2 linked regions of the Arabidopsis thaliana genome follow. The protein of the gene in region 1 purifies or fractionates together with the protein of each later gene. This does not show direct contact. Each region holds a gene or a part of one and is shown in the gene's direction. Other genes may lie near its edges. The genes, in order: PCFS4 and FY.

What was found.
Region 2: the proteins of PCFS4 (region 1) and FY purify together in Arabidopsis thaliana (affinity purification with western blotting, with the first as the bait; one study listed by BioGRID). This does not show direct contact.

What each region holds. Positions count from the first base shown.
Region 1 is NC_003075.7:2,468,119-2,477,466, forward strand, and holds PCFS4 (PCF11P-similar protein 4), read left to right. Parts: upstream 1-3,747; 5' UTR 3,748-3,964; coding exon 3,965-4,297; intron 4,298-4,459; coding exon 4,460-4,561; intron 4,562-4,650; coding exon 4,651-4,890; intron 4,891-5,346; coding exon 5,347-6,537; intron 6,538-6,618; coding exon 6,619-7,134; intron 7,135-7,254; coding exon 7,255-7,299; 3' UTR 7,300-7,907; downstream 7,908-9,348. Other genes in the region: PDF2 (protodermal factor 2), read right to left, coding at 8,852-9,253, 9,340-9,348.
Region 2 is NC_003076.8:4,324,670-4,335,279, reverse strand, and holds FY (Transducin/WD40 repeat-like superfamily protein), read left to right. Parts: upstream 1-3,308; 5' UTR 3,309-3,652; exon of another isoform or gene 3,653-3,722; coding exon of another isoform or gene 3,723-3,758; coding exon 3,759-3,846; intron 3,847-3,926; coding exon 3,927-4,018; intron 4,019-4,227; coding exon 4,228-4,365; intron 4,366-4,443; coding exon 4,444-4,548; intron 4,549-4,694; coding exon 4,695-4,790; intron 4,791-4,894; coding exon 4,895-4,977; intron 4,978-5,090; coding exon 5,091-5,162; intron 5,163-5,233; coding exon 5,234-5,331; intron 5,332-5,649; coding exon 5,650-5,709; intron 5,710-5,818; coding exon 5,819-5,879; intron 5,880-5,968; coding exon 5,969-6,056; intron 6,057-6,171; coding exon 6,172-6,235; intron 6,236-6,485; coding exon 6,486-6,564; intron 6,565-6,786; coding exon 6,787-6,876; intron 6,877-7,001; coding exon 7,002-7,084; intron 7,085-7,561; coding exon 7,562-8,010; intron 8,011-8,162; coding exon 8,163-8,333; coding exon of another isoform or gene 8,334-8,351; exon of another isoform or gene 8,352-8,501; intron 8,502-8,582; and 4 more.

The sequences.
Region 1 (9,348 bases):
CTATTTTTCCATGTCATCCCATCAACTTAACAAAATTAAAATTAGACATGGGCCTACCCCAACCAAACTATTTTCAAAATTAAAATCTATATAAAAACATAGGCCTAAACTTCCTAATCTAGAAAACTTAGGCCTCGGAAAATAAACCGCAGCGAATGTACCGAACCAAAACTGATGAAAAAAACTAAACCGAACCGAACAAAATATTTGAAAATAACTGAATGGATATTAAATTCTATAACTGAAACCGAATGGATACAGACCAAAAGATTTTGGATAACCAAAAATATCCAAAATATAATTATATTTTTAAAAATATTAGTTATTTCTAAACCTAATAATTAAAAATAGATATACGTATAATAGTAAAAATACTCGAAAGTAACCAAAAATATATGAAAATATCAAAAATAACTAAAATATCTAAAAATATTTAAACAAAAATAACCGAATAGATATTAATTTTTAAAACCGAATCCGAACTGAAACGAACCATAATTTTAAAATAACCGAATCCAATTCGATGCGGTTTTAAAAATTTTAAAACCGAATCCGAACTGAAACCGAACCATAATTTTAAAATAACCGAAACCGAATGGATAGAGACCAAAAGATTTTGGATAACCGAAAATATCCAAAATATAATTATATTTTAAAAATATTAGTTATTTCTAAACCTAATAATTAAAAATAGATATACGTATAATAGTAAAAATACTCGAAAGTAACCAAAAATATATGAAAATATCAAAAATAACTAAAATATCTAAAAATATTTAAAGAAAAATAACCGAATAGATATTAATTTTTAAAACCGAATCCGAACTGAAACCGAACCATAATTTTAAAATAACCGAATGGATACTAAACTTTATAACTGAAAGAACTAATAACCGAATGGATACGAATCGATACTGAATGGATAATCGAATGCCCATGACTAAGAAAACTTATCTAAAGGCTTGACTGGTTGAAACGCAGTGCCTGCATTTGTGACTGCATGAGTTTACGGAATCAGACAGTTGCGGTTTCAAGCATTATAAACCTTTTTGAACGACTGGTTTAACGGTTAAAAATTGGTGCATTTTTGGAAGGTTTATGACTGGTTAACGGATTTACGTTTATGGTAGAAAAATTACGGGTTTATGTTTTTAGCAAGCTAATTACGGGTTTACGTTTTTGGCAGAAAAATTACGGGTTTACATTTTTTTTGCGGCAAAATTACGGCTTTACGTTTTTTGGCGGGAAAATTGAAGGTTTAGGTTTTTTGGCGGAAATTACGGGTTTACGTTTTTGGCGGAAAAATTACGGATTTCTTTTTTTGGCGGGAAAATTACGGGATTACTTTTTTGGCAAAAAAATTAAGATTTTATGTTTTTGGCATGAAAATTACGAGTTTATGATAATGTTATCATCAATGATGATATCTATCATGACTATGGTATGTTGATATGATGATGAAGAAGATAGTATGATGATGATGGTGATGGTAATATGATATTATGAGAGGGTAATGATGATGATGATATTGTGTTGATAATGAATAAATTGATGGGTTGATGAAGCCATTTGAATTTTTTTTGATTATATTCAATCGGTTTAGAGATTTTAGTACAACTAAGATGTCATTTTTGTTTTTTAAGGTCTAATTAAATTTATCTCTTTTCTGGTATGGTTATTCGATTCTCCAATAATATAAGTTTCAATTTTCAAGTTTTGAAAAACAAACAAACATAGCTTTTAGTTTTTTTATACTTCTTCAACGTATGAATCAAATATGCATATGGAACATCAAAATCAAATATGATAACTCCATATAACATATTCTTAAGAATCTTCAATGACTTTAACCTCACCAGAATCAGCACCTGGTGATTTTTAACTCTTTTCACTTTTGTTTTTTAATGACTCTTCTAAAAAGATGTTCGTAATACAAAAAAATTAGCTTCCAAAACTTATAAAAGCTATATAGATCTTACTTTAAAAAATTAACAAATGCATTGAGCTCTTAATCACTTTCTAATGAATTCTTTTGTTCTACATATATCATGAATCATGACAAATAACATTCAATACCTACATACAACTTAACAAAATTACATTTTTTAATAAAAAAAGCCCGCGATTTGGTTCGGGTTTCGCCCTAGTACTAACTAGAGAAGAAAGAGATTTTCGAAGAAAAAATATGGAACATGTGAAAAGTTTAGAAGGTATGACACATATTGCTTAAACAAAATCATAAGAGGATGGAAAGAGACACTGTAAGAAAAAATGAAACAAATAAAACGAGTGCTTGCAAAAAGATAGGGAGAGTGATAGCTCTTTGTAAAAAAATTGTGAAGACAGAAATTCATATACATATTGAAAAGAATGTGAGAAAATATGAGTTGTTAAAGTAAAGTATAGATAAGCTTATGAATATACTTCTATATAATATCTTATTTTTAGACGAGCTATACTAACTAATGCAGCGAAGATAAACAAAAAAGAATAGTAAATTTACGGATTTCAAAATGAGAAAGTCGTCGAAGTTATTTTCCATAAAACAATTTATTTCATACATAAAAAGACGTCGTGATCCTAAATATCTAAAGCTAAAGAGAGAGTCATGAGCCAAAAAAATGTTCTTTTGATAAATGTTGTAAACCTAAAAGTTGTATTAAAGTTATTTTTAGTTTTGTATTTAAATTGTAACTATTGTCATGGTAATTTTAAAATTCAAAGAGTTTATAATATTAACAACAAGTAGACATATAAAAACATATCTTTTAAAAAATTTCTATAATAATTTTATTCACACAAAAAAATATTAAAAAGTTTTACAAATAGACCCATGCGTAGCGTGGATTCATAACCTAGGATTTAGAACGACTAATCGGGAGTTGCCACATAAATAATTAACATATTTAGTATCTAATTAATTAACATTTTTGAAAACAACCAATCGGGAGCTGCCACATCAATAATTAACATATTTAGCATCTAATTAATTAACATTTTTGAAAATAGCAATTACTTTATATTTTAAAATGTAAAAACAAAGGAACTAACAAATATTAAATTTAAACTTATAAAATAGGAAGCTATATAATTATAATTATGTAATAATAAACTCAAACCCTTATAGGATTTTATACAACTAATCCAACATTTTTTTAATATAACTTAAAGAAACGTAACAAGGACGTGGTTTGATGGTGGTGTTTTTAACTGTATCAATTTGAATCAAGTTCTCGAAGATATGCTCGTGGCAACTACCATGAGAATTCCACTTTTTCGGTCATGTGACAACCACACAAATTTCCGAGTTTCACGAGTTCAAAATCGGTGTTTCAACTCGTAACTTAGCCTTGAACGCATAAAAGCGAACTGAATGAATTAGAGTTGTAATGTTGTATTTATTTTTGTAGATTGTTTTAATCCGCTTCTTGCTAATCTCTGTATTTCTGTCAAAAATCAAAAATAATATAAAATCTAATTGTCTACCAAAAAAAAAATCATTCATAGTCCATGAGTAGAATCAAAACAAGATAGATTCAAACTTTATCAAGATAGATAAATAAGCTAAGAAATGAAATAGTTCCTCAAAACTAAATTTAGTGTCACCAAGAGGCAAGATCAAACTTTTCAAATAAGGGAAAGAAGAGAATTGCAACGTGATTAATTGATGAGGTCATAGTAAAAGTCAAAAATCTGTGTGACTCAAAACGGGTAAAAACAATAATTGGGATGTAGTTGATAACTCTAAAAAAAAAGGGACAAAAATGAGATTTGCATAAAGTAGAGATACAAAATTGAGAAGAAAAAAAAATCCTCTTCACTAAAAAAAAAAAAACTTCCGTTATCGATCTCTATCTCTCTCTTCCCCCACAAGGGTGGCGATTCGAGGAGTTTCCATGGTGGAACAGAAACCCTAGAGCCTTTATGCTGCCACTAATTATCACTCTTCACTATTGAATTGGGGATGGACTCAGAGAAAATCCTCAATCCAAGACTTGTTTCGATTAATAGCACCAGCCGCAAAGGTATGTCCGTTGAGTTGCCGCAGAAACCGCCGCCACCGCCGTCGTTGTTAGACCGGTTTAAAGCTTTGCTTAATCAGCGTGAAGATGAGTTCGGTGGTGGTGAAGAGGTTTTGCCTCCGAGTATGGATGAGATTGTTCAGCTTTATGAGGTTGTTTTGGGTGAGCTTACTTTCAATTCTAAGCCTATTATCACTGATCTCACTATTATCGCTGGTGAACAACGGGAACATGGTGAAGGAATCGCTAATGCTATTTGCACTCGAATCCTTGAGGTTTGCTTTCTTCTTATTTGTTTCCACTTTCTAGCCTTATTGTATAGTATGTAAGTGTAGAAGTGGGAAAAAAATTAGGTTTTTGATTGTCAGAGATTAGTGTTTGGTTTGTGGTTTAGTGAAATGGCTGCTTCTGAGTTACCTGTGGGTGTATATATGCAGGCTCCTGTTGAGCAAAAGTTGCCATCTCTGTATCTTTTAGACAGCATTGTTAAGAACATTGGGCGGGATTATGGTCGCTATTTCTCATCCCGTCTACCCGAGGTGAGCAGTCTACAAGAAGATGTTTACTTAAATGATTTGAATAGGGCTGAAGCATACCCATGAGCTGTTTTGATCCTATTCTGCTTTAGGTCTTCTGCCTTGCATATAGGCAAGCACATCCGAGTTTACATCCGTCAATGCGTCACCTGTTTGGGACTTGGTCGAGTGTTTTTCCACCACCTGTACTACGCAAGATTGATATGCAATTGCAACTTTCATCTGCAGCAAACCAATCTTCCGTAGGGGCTTCTGAGCCTAGTCAACCAACGAGAGGTATACATGTTAATCCAAAATATCTTCGCAGGCTGGAGCCCTCAGCCGCCGAAAATGTAAGCCTTTCTCTTTGTCATTATGAACAGAGATGACATTCTTTTTTTAGGTGCATCTGCAACCTTGAAGCTATGGTGTGTTAATTTTATATAAGTGTACTAAGTAAAACGGGTATTAGATTAGTTTGGCCTCATAGTGGTCTTATCCATTGTATTTCTTTAAAGTTTTGTTAGTTAGACGAGATAGATGTTTACATTCTTCAAGTAATCAATCTTGACTGGAAGGGAGTTGTTGTTATGGCCTCTCTCAGTTATACATGATGAGTAGGTCACTGGGACTCTGGTACATTAGAAATGATCTTGTTAGCACATGTAGAGGGTTTTTTTTTGGTTATAGTACAGTAGATCACTGTTTATGCATCATGTGTCGTTTGGAACTGTTTTTATATGTTTTTTTTCAAAGAGTGACTATACCTGAGATGCATATTTCCTTAATTGCTCTTGCTTGACATGCAGAATTTGAGAGGAATTAATTCCAGTGCAAGAGTTTATGGCCAAAATTCACTCGGTGGGTATAATGATTTCGAAGATCAGTTAGAGAGCCCATCTTCACTGTCTAGTACACCAGATGGTTTTACCAGGAGGTCTAATGATGGAGCTAATCCTTCTAATCAAGCTTTTAACTATGGAATGGGTCGAGCTACTAGCAGAGATGATGAACATATGGAATGGCGAAGAAAGGAAAACTTAGGCCAAGGAAATGATCACGAAAGACCTAGAGCGTTGATAGATGCATATGGAGTTGACACCAGCAAACACGTAACGATCAATAAACCAATTCGCGATATGAATGGCATGCACAGTAAGATGGTTACACCATGGCAGAACACTGAGGAAGAAGAGTTTGATTGGGAAGATATGAGCCCTACCCTAGATCGTAGCAGAGCTGGTGAATTTTTGCGATCATCTGTACCAGCATTAGGAAGTGTAAGGGCAAGACCCAGAGTAGGAAACACAAGTGATTTTCATTTAGATTCTGACATTAAGAATGGTGTAAGTCATCAGCTACGAGAAAATTGGAGTTTGTCACAAAATTATCCACATACATCCAACCGTGTTGATACAAGAGCAGGAAAAGACTTGAAAGTATTGGCTTCATCTGTAGGGTTAGTTTCATCAAACAGTGAATTCGGGGCTCCTCCATTTGATAGCATTCAAGATGTTAACTCACGTTTTGGCCGGGCTCTTCCTGATGGGACATGGCCCCATTTGAGTGCTAGAGGACCCAACTCTCTCCCTGTACCTTCTGCTCATTTGCATCATTTGGCAAATCCCGGTAATGCGATGTCAAATCGCTTGCAAGGTAAGCCTTTATATAGGCCCGAAAACCAGGTCTCTCAGAGTCATCTTAATGATATGACTCAACAGAATCAGATGCTAGTTAATTATTTGCCATCCTCATCTGCTATGGCTCCAAGGCCAATGCAATCGTTGTTAACCCACGTAAGTCATGGGTACCCTCCACATGGGTCAACCATTAGACCATCTTTATCAATCCAAGGTGGGGAAGCCATGCATCCTCTTTCTTCAGGAGTTTTATCTCAGATAGGAGCCTCTAATCAACCACCAGGTGGCGCATTCTCTGGTCTGATTGGCTCTCTCATGGCTCAAGGTTTGATCTCATTGAACAATCAGCCTGCTGGTCAGGTAATTATTCAAATCATGTCCTTGAGAGTCGGTTTGTTCTTAGTTATTGCTTTATCTTGAATTGTTGGTTTATATATTCAGGGACCATTGGGGTTGGAGTTTGATGCAGACATGCTCAAGATACGTAATGAGTCTGCAATCAGTGCTTTATATGGGGATCTCCCGAGGCAATGCACAACCTGTGGTCTACGCTTCAAGTGCCAAGAAGAGCACAGTAAGCACATGGATTGGCATGTAACCAAGAACAGGATGTCCAAGAACCATAAGCAGAACCCTTCTCGGAAATGGTTTGTAAGTGCTAGCATGTGGCTCAGTGGTGCAGAAGCACTTGGAGCTGAAGCAGTACCAGGGTTCTTGCCCACGGAGCCAACAACAGAAAAGAAGGATGACGAAGATATGGCAGTTCCTGCAGATGAAGACCAAACTTCATGTGCATTATGTGGTGAGCCATTTGAAGACTTTTATAGTGATGAAACCGAGGAATGGATGTACAAAGGTGCGGTATACATGAATGCTCCTGAAGAATCAACAACAGATATGGACAAGTCTCAGTTAGGTCCTATAGTGCATGCAAAGTGCAGGCCAGAGTCCAATGGGGTAAGCCATTCCATGCATTTTCATTAGCTTCATTTGTGTCTAGTTGAATCCATTTTCATTTTCGCTGCTAGACATTTATCCAGTGACGACCTCTTGATTTCCCGATCATGGCTTTTTCAGGGTGATATGGAAGAGGGTAGTCAGAGGAAAAAGATGCGGAGTTAGATCCCTTAGACCGAATTTTAGGTCTTTTTCTTGACTACATTTAAGTTACATTCTTATTTCTTCATCATCTATATGCACTTAGTCACAGAATACCACCAATGAAGAGAAATGATGGAGAGAGTCTTCTTTCTCCTAAAACTGTACCATTGAAAAAAAGAGGTTTACACCCACATATATTATCATTCTTTATGCCTCTAAATTCCTGTTGTGCCTTAGGACATGGATATCGTGTAACTGTTCTGCATTCTCTGCTACACCTAACCTGGGGTGCTTGTAGTAGTAAAATCAGATGTCGCAACAGTAGTTTCCCCATGTAAATGGAATACAATGTCTCTGTTTCGGATTGTCTTTTTCTTTTTCATCTTTAGATATTGCAGGGAAAGCCCGAGAAGACTGATATTCGAATGTGAACAGATTTCTTATGATGAATGGATCTCATAGATGCTGTTGCTAAGAGAACCAGTTTCAGGTTTCTTCTTTAGAGCTTTCCCTGTCTGAGTTTTACCTTTCTATGTTAGGCTGTTAGCTAAAAATGTTAGTTAACATAACTCTCTTTAAGCGTATTTGTTCTCTTGACTTTGTCTATAATGAAACAAGTTTTACTTTTCTTCTATCTGAACCTTTTGCTTTTGAAATTTCCACTACTTGTATCTTCATACCTACATGATACAGAGCCGGATTTATGTCGAAGTAGATTGAACGATAGTTAAAGCTTTCGAACTTACTTGGCTTTTTGCTCGATCAAACTAGAGTTTTTTCATGACTGTTACATTTGAAATATGGAATTATAAAGATTTAAAGGTTATGATTTAGTTCTGGTAGTACCTTATAGGACTGCAGAGCAAACTCAGTTCAAATCTGGCTTTGTCTCAACCGTTAGTCTCTAAACAAGAGTATGTGATGATCAATAGATGTAATGGCTGGAGTAAAATTCATGTTTGTTATATACATTGTGAAAATAGTCTATTATAGTATGAATATAAGAAAACAGCTTGCAATATGCAATATGAACTAAGCTAGAACAAAAGATCAGGTTAAGAACACACATCATTGCCCTTTTATTTTGCCTTTGTTAGAAAATTGGACCGTTGGTTGAATGGGATAAGAGAGAGCTAACAGAAACTAGTAGTGTACTAATAACAAAGATTTTAACTCCATATCTGTCAAGTGCAACAAAAGGGCTTACAATACAAAACAACAAAGAAACTGACAACTTGGGTCGGAGAACGCAAAAAGGGGAAACCCAAAAGGTGTTCAAAAAACTGTCAACGAAACGCAAAATAGACAATTTAAAACCGTGGTTTCCAGCAGAAGTCAATACCCGAACCACTTTACCTTTTTTCATCAGCTTGAGATGAAATTAAACGCAAAAGGTGCGTTCTTGACTTCCTTTGGATTTCAAAAAACACAAAATGAGAAACCATAACCGCTCTTAATCCTTCCTTTTCTCTTATTCTTACTTCTTCTGCATAAGGAAAAAACACTTGTTACTTGCTCCACAAGAATCCCATTCGGTTAAGATCTTAGTTGTGGAATCATACCTGAAAAAAAACTACGCTCCTCCTCCAACATCACAAGAAACAGCAGCTTTAATCCTCTCCACCGTACATTTGATCAGACTATTAACCGTAGCCACCGAGCCAAGTGAGAGTTTAGCTGTAGGAACAGAGTCAACAAGAATCTGAAACGCAACGGTTAAAAGCGAACCACCACAACTCCCAGAAGAAGTAGTAGAAACCATTTCCTGATGCTGATTCCCATCTCCTCCTCCAACCGAACCATCCGGTAAAATAGCAAAACCAGACGGCAACAACGCCACGTAATCAGGATCTCCACCGCTTAGAACCACATTCATCGCCACTATATCCACTGGCGCGTAAATCACATACGATCCTGATGCATCTGTACAGCTCTCTTGTAGAATCAACATGTTGCTCTGGCTCGAGTTTCCACTCTGTTTACAACAACAACAAAGTTTCCTCAATCTGAAAACGATAAAACAAAGAGAAAATATCGATAGTTAATAATGTCAAGTCTTACATTGACTCG
Region 2 (10,610 bases), on another chromosome or scaffold:
CTGCGTTATCGGCCGTAGATCATGCCACCTATTTGGCGCCGGAAATCTGGAATGTTATTGGCCATTGACGGGTTTTTGTAGTCAACTGTCTACAGGGTAACGTTTCAAATATTTCTTAGTTTATATTTTGTTTTGGTCAAAGTGCTTTAATCTTTAATATTTGTTTTGACCAACAGTATATTTACAAAAAAAAATGGTGTTTTGGAAAAAAAAAAAAAAAAGAACAAAAACACAATATCAGTCCACCAGTGTTACGTTCCTCGCCTCCTCCTCCGTCGGCTAGTTGTACAAAATTTTAGTGGATCGCTATAATGGTCATCTTCAGGGTGTCATATGTTTTGAGTCAGAATTTCGAATGTCGAAGTGATTCAGTAATGGTTGGGAAGGCTTGTGATGCTGCCTCATCCCAGTCCAAATGTATTTGCCTTGACTCTTGAAGAGCTCTAAATCCCACGTCTTCTATCTAGCTCTAAAGTATGCTATGTCACTTTGGTTGTGCTTCACCTTCTTTGTTTTCAGCTCATGTTTGTTCATCTTCACATAAAGGCATGTTGAAAATGGAAAGGTGCAAGATCAGTCAATATGTTCATCTTCACATAAAGGCATGTTTAAGGCAAGGTGATTGTATCTCTCCTTATCTCTTTATTTTGGTAATGGAGGTGTTATCCAGAATGTTGGACAGTGGGCTGTTGGAGGGCAAGTTTTCTGCTCATCCTTTGTGTATCACTCCTCGCCTAACTCATCTAGCTTTCGCAGATGATTTATTGGTTTTCTCAGATGGTTCTCAGCACTCTCTCCTTGGTATTAGTGGTATACTGCAAACTTTCCATTCCTTTTCCGGTTTGGACATGAACCCTTCAAAGTCTGAGCTGTTTTTTGGAGGTTATGGGGATTCTGAAGCTGCTGTTATTGCTGACTTGATTGGGATTCGAATAGGTGTTTTTCCCTCTCGGTATCTTGGCTTGCCGCTGAACCCGACTAAGCTTTCTCTTGCCACACTTCAACCTTTTATTCAAAAGATTACCGAGCAGCTTAACTCCTGGACAACCAAGTTTCTCTCTTATGCTGGGAAAATCCGGTTAATAGTATCTGTTGTTTATGGGAAAGTGAACTTCTGGAGTCAAGTCTTTGTTCTACCAAAGGGTTTTTATAAGAAAATTGACAATCTCTGCTCTGCTTTTTTGTGGAAAAATACTACTTCGTCTGCAAGAGGTGCAAGAGTTGCTTGGAAGGACATTTGTAAGACAAAAGAGGAGGGTGGGTTAGGTATTCGATCTCTTGAGGAATTTGCTACTGTTTTCAGGTTGAAACAGGTTTGGCACCTCTTTACTAGAAGGGGCTCATTGTGGGTTATGTGGTTGGACCATAACATCTTCGGAAGAAGGAACTATTGGTTGATGGATAGCACACCACGTCTATCTTGGAACATTAGGAAGATGTTGGAAGTAAAATCTGTGTTCCAGAGATTGATTAAATGTCAGATGCGAGACGGTATGAAAGCCTCTTTCTGGTTTGATTATTGGACAAGCCTTGGTCCCCTTATTGAGCTTTTTGGTCAGTTGGGCCCAAGAGAGCTTCGGATCAGTAGAAATGCTAGCGTTTGGGAAGCTACACATGAAGGTCAATGGCATTTTCCCAATGCGAGATCTCACCAAGCTGAGCAGTTGCAGATTTGCTTGTCCTCGGTTGCCCCGCCTTCTCCTTTAAGAGGTGCTGATTGGTACCAATGGAAGCAGCCCACAGGTACTTTTTCTGAAACATTCTCTTCGAAAGGAACTTGGATGCAAATTAGACAAATTTCTCCTCATGTGGCTTGGCATAAAGCTGTCTGGTTTAAGGAATCTGTCCCAAGGTTTTCATTTATCCTTTGGATGGCTTCCCATGAAAGGTTGACAACGAGAGATAGGCTTTTACAGTGGGGTATGAATGTACATGGTTCTTGTGTTCTGTGTGATTCTGGCCTTGATTCCCATGATCACTTGTTCTTCAAATGTGAGTTTTCTAGATCACTTTGGATTTCGCTCGCTGGAAGGATTTCGCCGAATCCTCCACTCTCTTTACCCTTGGCTTCTATGTGGGTTCTTGGTGTACATTCTTCTCCGCCGCACTATGCAAGTAAGATCTTAAAACTTCTTCTTCAAACCGCTGTTTATATGATTTGGAAAGAGCGCAACCGCAGAGATTTCTCAGCAGATGCTACCTCTCTCTCCGCTACAAAAATTCTCGTTGATCGCACAATGCGTAACCGTCTCATCTCCTTCTCGCCGGAGGAATCAGTTACCACTATCTCTCTCCTTGGATTCTACTTTGGTTGTATTAGTACCCCACTATAGGTGTGGCAAAGCTCATATTTATGTATGTATGGTGTTCCATTAGTCTCTCTTCACAAGAGCTCGGTGTGTTTTTGGGGTTTCATTGTACTATGTAAACCTTTTTTCATTTGGTATAAATCTTAACATTAAACCAAAAAAAAAAAAATGTTGAAACCTGTTAACATAGTCTATTTATACTCTATAAGTGCAAAACAGGGTTTTAACATGATTAAGTTTCGTAGTGGAATATAATAGCGGATTGGGATTGTGTTTCATATAGCATTGCCATTGGGATGTAGTGAATCTTGTTTGGAATAACGTATATCGATTTTTTTTTTTTTTTGTTATTTGGGAGATTTTAAGTTCTAATATGACAAGATTATAACATTTAATTTAACATTAAACCAAAAAAAAAAAGATTGTAACATTTTCTGAATTTTTGTAATTCGTTTTACTAGTGTCAGTTTTTTTTTCTTTTACTTTTAACTCTTTCAAATATTTAGTTATTTTAATGTTTTAAAAAAAAAGACTAATTTGCATCACCACTATCTTTGGGTTGAATATTTATTCAATATGTTCCACTATGAATACGTGAATTATGTGTGTGTTTTCATCTACAATTCATACACACACTCTGTCATGATTGTGAAATAAGCAGTAAAACAACAACAATACTAGAAAAAACCACACTTTGGGACATTAGAGTTCGATGTGAATACAATACTAGGATTTTCTTAATGTTAATGGCGATGCCTCTATTCATTCTTCTTCCTCTTTCTTTTATAGTCGTCCTTCACGTGTCCTGCCCGATCCGCAGTATCCACCCTAGAATCTCGTTGATCTCAACAGTTCTTCAGATCTTTTTCATGCCATCTCGCGGTTAGTTGCTTAAGATACACTCCTCGAGCTTGTTGATCAACCGGAAGGCCGACGGATGGGTTTACTAAACAAACTCATCCGTTATTTCCTACTCGCAATACATAGTTCAGCCTGAACATATGTGTCTAATTGATAGGGTAGGCCAAGTAACAACATACACCCAAAAAAAAAAAAATAAAAAAAAAAATAAAAAAATCGTGGAGATTAAAAAAGCTAAACCAATCGACTTCTTGATTAGTTTGATGATTTTATTAATCTTATCGGTTAAAACCGACCGGCGATCGAGGGTTTGGCTTGCCGAGAAGGAAGAAAAAAAAACCCTAAGATTTATTTCTACTCTTCACTCCATTATCGACTTCTCATCATTTCTCTACCCATTGTACTTCTCTGCTCTTGGGTTGTCATCAATTCGCGAATTTGATACACGCACACCCTAAAGAGAGATCCACGCTCGTTTCAAGGTAACCTAAATTCGAACACTTTCGCAGTTTCCCTTCGATTCGAATAAATCACTGTTCTCCGTGGGCAACAATGTACGCCGGCGGCGATATGCACAGGGGTTCACAGATGCCACAACCACCGATGATGCGGCAGTCGTCAGCTTCTTCCACTAACATCAATCCCGACTACCACCACCCATCTGGCCCCTTCGACCGTAAGTAGACTTTGAGCGTCTTCCTTTTATCGGATTAGTGATGACTGTGAGATTTAATGTCTCTCTGTCTGATGTTGCAGCCAATGTAGACAGTTTTGGGGCGAAACGAATGAGAAAGCATACACAGAGAAGAGCTGTTGATTACACCAGCACCGTTGTTAGATATATTCAGGTAATGTATTCCCATTGCTGCTCACAGTATTTCTTTGTTAGAACCTTTTGTACTGCTTGATTATATTTCTCTTGTTTTCTGTAAAGTTTTAGTCTTGGTCTATATACTCATAGCCTCTGCTTTCCCCAGTTGAATTCTTCGGTCCTTTTTATCTCAAAAGCCATTAGATAGGATTGTCTTTATGTCATGGAACTGATATGGATATGTAGTTCAACGAACTCATACTTTATATGGAACTAAAAGTAGAGAGTGTTTACTCCATATATGTTTTTGTTCAGGCTCGAACATGGCAGCGAGACTCAAGGGATAGGACCACTCTGCAACCAACCCCAGCTGCAGCAGTTGATGTTAGATTTCTTTGCTTTTCTGGGTTTTGCAATAAGATTGAATGGTTTACTGATCTAACTTTTATATCAATGCTTCAGATGCTTCCCACAGTTGCCTATTCGGATAATCCTTCAACAAGCTTTGCTGCAAAGTTTGTTCACGCATCTCTAAACAAGAACCGTTGTTCAATCAACCGTGTATTGGTATATCCCTCTACCAGCTGTGTGTTTTGTATTATTCTCTGTTTGCCATGTTTATCTATTCAAGAAAGCAACATCTTTCTTTCTTTGTTTTAACTCTATTATGCCAACTTAATGGGATCATTGCTGATTGGGTTTCTTTTATTTAGTGGACACCTTCAGGAAGACGTCTTATCACGGGCTCCCAAAGTGGGGAGTTTACTCTTTGGAATGGGCAATCTTTTAATTTTGAAATGATTCTTCAGGTTCGTTTCTCAGATTGTATAACTAATCTGTTGAAACTTCTGTTTTGATTCTTCTATAGTTGCTGCTCCTGGTATTGACTGTTTAAATTTGTTGTCAATATCAGGCACATGATCAACCTATTAGGTCGATGGTATGGAGCCACAATGAAAATTATATGGTTTCTGGTGATGATGGAGGCACATTAAAGTAAATTTGTTTTTCCCTTTCAGTCCCTAACTTATGATGTTGTAAACGAGAAGCTCAGAATTCTATGATTCAAATGCTGTGACAATAAGGATCAATTGTTTCTTATGTATCAGGTATTGGCAGAACAATATGAACAATGTGAAAGCCAATAAAACTGCTCACAAGGAATCAATTCGCGATTTAAGGTAAAAAAAAGTTTGATATGTTGAATTGCATTAAATGAATCTCTCAAAACTGAACAATGTGTATCCAACAGTTTTTGTAAAACAGATTTGAAGTTCTGTTCGTGTTCTGATGATACGACTGTTAAAGTCTGGGATTTTACCAAGTGCGTAGATGAAAGCTCATTAACCGGTAATGTTATTTGAACAGATTGGCGGCAGATACTTTATTTCTTTGTTGCTTGCTCTTCTAATTTGAATTTAGAAGGCCGCTTGAGATGTGCTGTACGTTATTAGAATTGGATTCTTAGGCTACATAGGAAAAGGTGTCATTGAGATTCGCTTTGGTGTCATGCCATGTAACGTTAGTTAGTTTTAAAGGTTCCAAATTGGTGCTTATAACAAGTTTCCTATCCTTTTGGAGGCATGTTTTCACAGTTTTCTTCATATTTGTAATATTTGAGAACTTTCGAAGTAATCAAAGGGTTCTTTATATTTTGAACTCAGGCAGGCCATGGTTGGGATGTCAAGAGCGTTGACTGGCACCCCACAAAGTCCCTACTAGTTTCTGGTACATTATTTTATAGACTTCTATTTGAATAATGCAATAAAAAGAAACCGCTGTATATTTCAGAGCTTCTCTATGGCTGATCATTAACCGCTTTAATCTGTGTTGTCAGGTGGAAAAGACCAACTTGTCAAACTCTGGGATACTAGATCTGGGAGAGAGCTTTGCTCACTGTAAGTAGTACATAATGTAATATGTAATTTTATTATAGTTTCATGTTCAAAGCTTTGACGAATTTGATGGCCTATTCTTACTTCTGCAGCCATGGTCACAAAAACATAGTACTTAGCGTGAAGTGGAACCAAAATGGCAATTGGCTTTTAACGGCCTCGAAAGATCAGATAATTAAGGTAAGTCTCACTTTCTTTTGGGTGGGGGGGGGGGGGGGGGATATTGATTTGTAAATGAGATTTTTTCCTTGCATTATGGAAGCATTTGTATGACACTTATGCATGTAATCTGCAGCTGTATGATATAAGGACTATGAAGGAGCTTCAATCCTTTCGTGGGCACACGAAAGATGTAACATGTAAGCTGTCAAATTCTATAATGATCATGTTTTAAACACGTGAAATCAGACAAACTGGCCGCATCAAATTACTTTTCTGTACATTGACTAGGACTCTAGAGTATATGCCTTTGAAAGATTATCATTGTACCCATGCTTTACTTGTCGACATATGAGACATTATCCCATGGATGCGAGTTTTCAATTTGTTTCTTCGATATTTCTAATTTGCAACTATTTCTAATTAAAAGTTGTCTTAACTCTTTTTAAGCTTTGGCGTGGCATCCCTGCCATGAAGAATATTTTGTCAGTGGGAGCTCTGACGGCTCCATTTGTCATTGGATTGTGGGGTAGGTACTGTTGTGCAGCAGTATGCTGTTTTATTTATTCGTTCATGCTGCTATTGTTTTAATCACTTATAAGGGTTTTTTAAATCATGTTTCTTCTCTACATTTTATATTCAGTCATGATGCATCTACATACTAGTAGTCTAGTAGCATCTTACTTTACCTTATATTTTGTGGTTTTTGTTTGAGGTGTATCTAATTATGAAAACTTTTCTTAATTCCCAGGCATGAAAACCCGCAGATTGAAATCCCAAATGCTCATGATAACAGTGTTTGGGATCTTGCATGGCATCCTATTGGATATCTTCTTTGCAGGTAGCAATTTCAATAGTCTGGTGCTATGAGTTCCTTACAGTTTTATTCTATGATGTGTTGTGGTTCCCTGTGCTCTTGAATAACTAAATGCTTCAGATAATGATTTTTAACCCTATTATCTGCAGTGGTAGCAATGATCACACAACCAAGTTTTGGTGCAGAAACAGGCCTGCAGATAATCCCCGAGATGTTCTTATGCAGAACCAAGGTTTGTTTTTGGGCTATTAGTATCTGATTTTTTAGTAGGCATTGGGATGGATAGGTTGTGGGTAGTACATAATTACTATGTCCTTATCCATCTCAGTAGTAAGGATGTTGTGATAGGCTTAACTGGTCAGGCCCTGGCAGGGTCAGTCATATACTCCTATAATGGCTGGTTCGAAATGGACCTTGGCTTTTTAAGGTTCAGGCTCGGCCAGCCATATGGCACCGTGATTAACTGAATTTTTTTGTAGAAAAGAACAGACTTGACTGGTCAAGCTGAGCTGATCTGATATAGGTGCAGATTTCTACAGGCTTTAAAAACTCAGACCCAAGTACTCGGTCATTAGTATCTCACTTACTGTTTTAATTTTGAGCATGTACTTTCAAGTTGCATTTGTCAGAAATTAGTGTTTTTTATTTAGTGTTTACTAACAAATTGAAGATGTGATTTGTGTGTACTGATAAGCGTAATTTGTATCAGGCTATAATGAACAAGGTTTTGGTCGCCAACCTGATAATTTCCAACCATCTGAGGCATCGCCAATCCCTGGAGCATTTGTGCCTGGGTTGACACGGAACGAGGGGACTATCCCAGGAATAGGAATAGCAATGCCATTTGATGCATCCTCTCAAGGGGATCATAAACAGCCTCTTCCAGGTTCCATGGCACTGGGGGCTCCTCCTTTGCCACCTGGTCCCCACCCATCGCTTCTTGGAAGTGGCCAGCAGCAAGGGTATCAGCAACAACAACAACACCAAGGTCATCCCCAGCAAATGCTTCCAATGCCCAATATGCCTCACCATCAGCTACCACCATCATCTCATATGCCATTGCACCCTCATCATCTTCCCCGGCCTATGCAAATGCCTCCTCACGGTCACATGCCACCTCCCTCAATGCCTATGTCTCATCAGATGCCTGGATCAATGGTATGGCCCTCAGATCTCTTGTAATTCAACCACAACTTAAGCCTGGCTTTTGTCGGTACCCCATGTGTTGGATTCCTCTTTGTTTTATTTTCTTAGTGATATCTTAGAGAGGTGTAGAAAGAGATATTAATCCTCACTTGTTGTTGGAGTAGGGAATGCAAGGTGGCATGAATCCTCAGATGTCGCAAAGTCATTTTATGGGTGCTCCTTCAGGAGTATTTCAAGGACAACCAAACAGTGGCGGACCCCAAATGTATCCCCAAGGACGTGGTGGTTTCAACCGTCCACAGATGATTCCAGGCTACAACAACCCTTTCCAACAGGTCCCATTTAAACACTAGTCTTTTGTTATTTAGTATACCCGTAAAGGTTTCACATGTATATATGTGCAAATAGGCAAAATGTCTACACAACAATGCAAAACACCTGATACGATTGAACCACAATACAACTTTCTCAGCTAGTTTTAAACTCACTAGCTAGGTTCAATGGTATGATTAGATGTTGAAAATGTAGAGCTAAAATAGCATAATCCGTTGACTAATCCGTTGTCTATATTTTATTTCGTGCAGCAGCAGCAGCCACCTTTACCTCCTGGCCCTCCACCAAACAACAATCAGCAACATCAGTAGGCAGCCGTTGTATTAGTACATTAGTTTACAACCGCACTGTCTGCGGGATAAAACGATTGAAGTAAAACTATTATATGGGATTCAAATTTCGTTTCTATAAAACAAAACATAAAAAAAAAAGGTTTTTGTTCTGTTCCAATATGCAAATAATTTGTATTAGAATTTTTTGCACCCGTAAAATATTTGAGCATAGTAACAACTTCCATGTGGAGAAAGTATTGATGAAATACTATGATTTATGGCACATGTCTTTTTTGTATTTTTAATAATTAAATTCATATATTTTATGTTAAGTGACCACAGTCATAATACTCTAGTTTTGATACTTAATGTGAACAAGTTACGAAGTTTTAGTGGCTTCACATGTCAAATACTCTAGTTTTCGTTAACCCGACAAACTTTTTTTTTTTTTTTTTTTTTTTTCATAAATTTCCAATTAACCAAAAAAAGTTGCAATACAAAGCCAAAAGGCCAACACAGCACGCAGGCCTGAAAGAACAAAAAACAACCAAATACAAGTTTAAAAGGCTAGATCAAAGGCAGAAGCCCAGAAGACCCAAGCCACCACAGCAGACGGCGAAGGAGCTAGAACACCAAAGCCCGACCCTTTGAAAACCTGCACAAGGAGAAAGCATCAGACTTGAGGAGGATCTCTATTGAGGAAGAGAGAAAACCAAGAACCCAAAAGCGAGAGTCCGGATCTCCCAGGAGCGCGGGAGCGAGAGAGAGGATCCAACCGAGCCCTTATCACCATCTGAATTTCCTTAGTGATAAGATGAGAAGGCCGCCTGATTTCAAATTGAATACGAGCATTACGCTCTTTCCAAATAAAGTAGACAGAAGCTTGGAAGAGAAGCTTGATAATGAGCATTAGATTCTTGTCCCTTGTAGCCGAATTAAGCCACAGCAAGCAATTCATGAACTGAGGAGGCGGCGAAAATCCAACCGCCCTCATAAAGAAGGTCCAAATTCTTGAGCTGAACCTACAAGCAAAGAAGAGATGGTCCCGAGTTTCATCGACCAAGTTACACAGAACACACTCAGCATGAACAAGGAGCCCCCAACTTCTTAACCTGTCCCGAGTGTGTAGCCTATTCCAAGCAGTTACCCATGAGATGAAAGCATGCTTAGGAACCTGATTTGTAAACCAAACTGCCTTGTGCCAAGAGACTGAGACAGAGAACGGTTGGAGAGCTCTCCAAGTATCCGCTGTAGAAAACTTTGAAGAAGGCACCCGATCACCTACTTTCCAAAGATAAGAGTCATCATGCTCACAATCAACCAAATTCCCAACAGGAGGAAGAAGAGATTTCAGAAGAAGAATAACCGGATTCCTGCTTCTACTAGAGGCAATCCACCAGTCATCGTTCCTAATGGCGTCCCTGACAACAGAGGTAATGGAAAGCCCAACCAGCTGAGGACCGGTCAACCCCGTTAAGTGTATAAGCGGTCCATGACCTGTCCAGTTATCCTGCCAAAAGCTAGCAGTGATTCCTGAACCAACTTCGCAAATAACAAAAGGACGAGCAACTTCTCTAAGTTTACAGAGCTTCCTCCAAACCCAGCTGCCCGAGAGATAGGGATTAAGATTCCAAAAGTTCCTACGGCCGATTAGATGCAACCGAACCCAAGAGACCCATAAGGAACCCGAAGCAGTAAACAACAGCCAAATCAGCTTGAGAGCCAGGACCTTATTCCAAGAAGATAATCTTTTTAAACCCAATCCACCACTTTCCTTAGAAGAACACACTATATCCCAAGAGATTTTTGCACCACGAGCTGAGTTTGGAGCTCCGGACCATAAGAACGCGTTGCACAACTGCTCTAACTTATGAAGGCATTGGTTGGGGAGGATAAATATCGAAGCCCAGAAGTTGATTGTGGAGTAAATAACAGATTTCAAGAGCTGCAATCTACCCGCAAAGGAGAGGTGCCTTGCAGTCCAAGACGAGAACCTTGAATTTATCC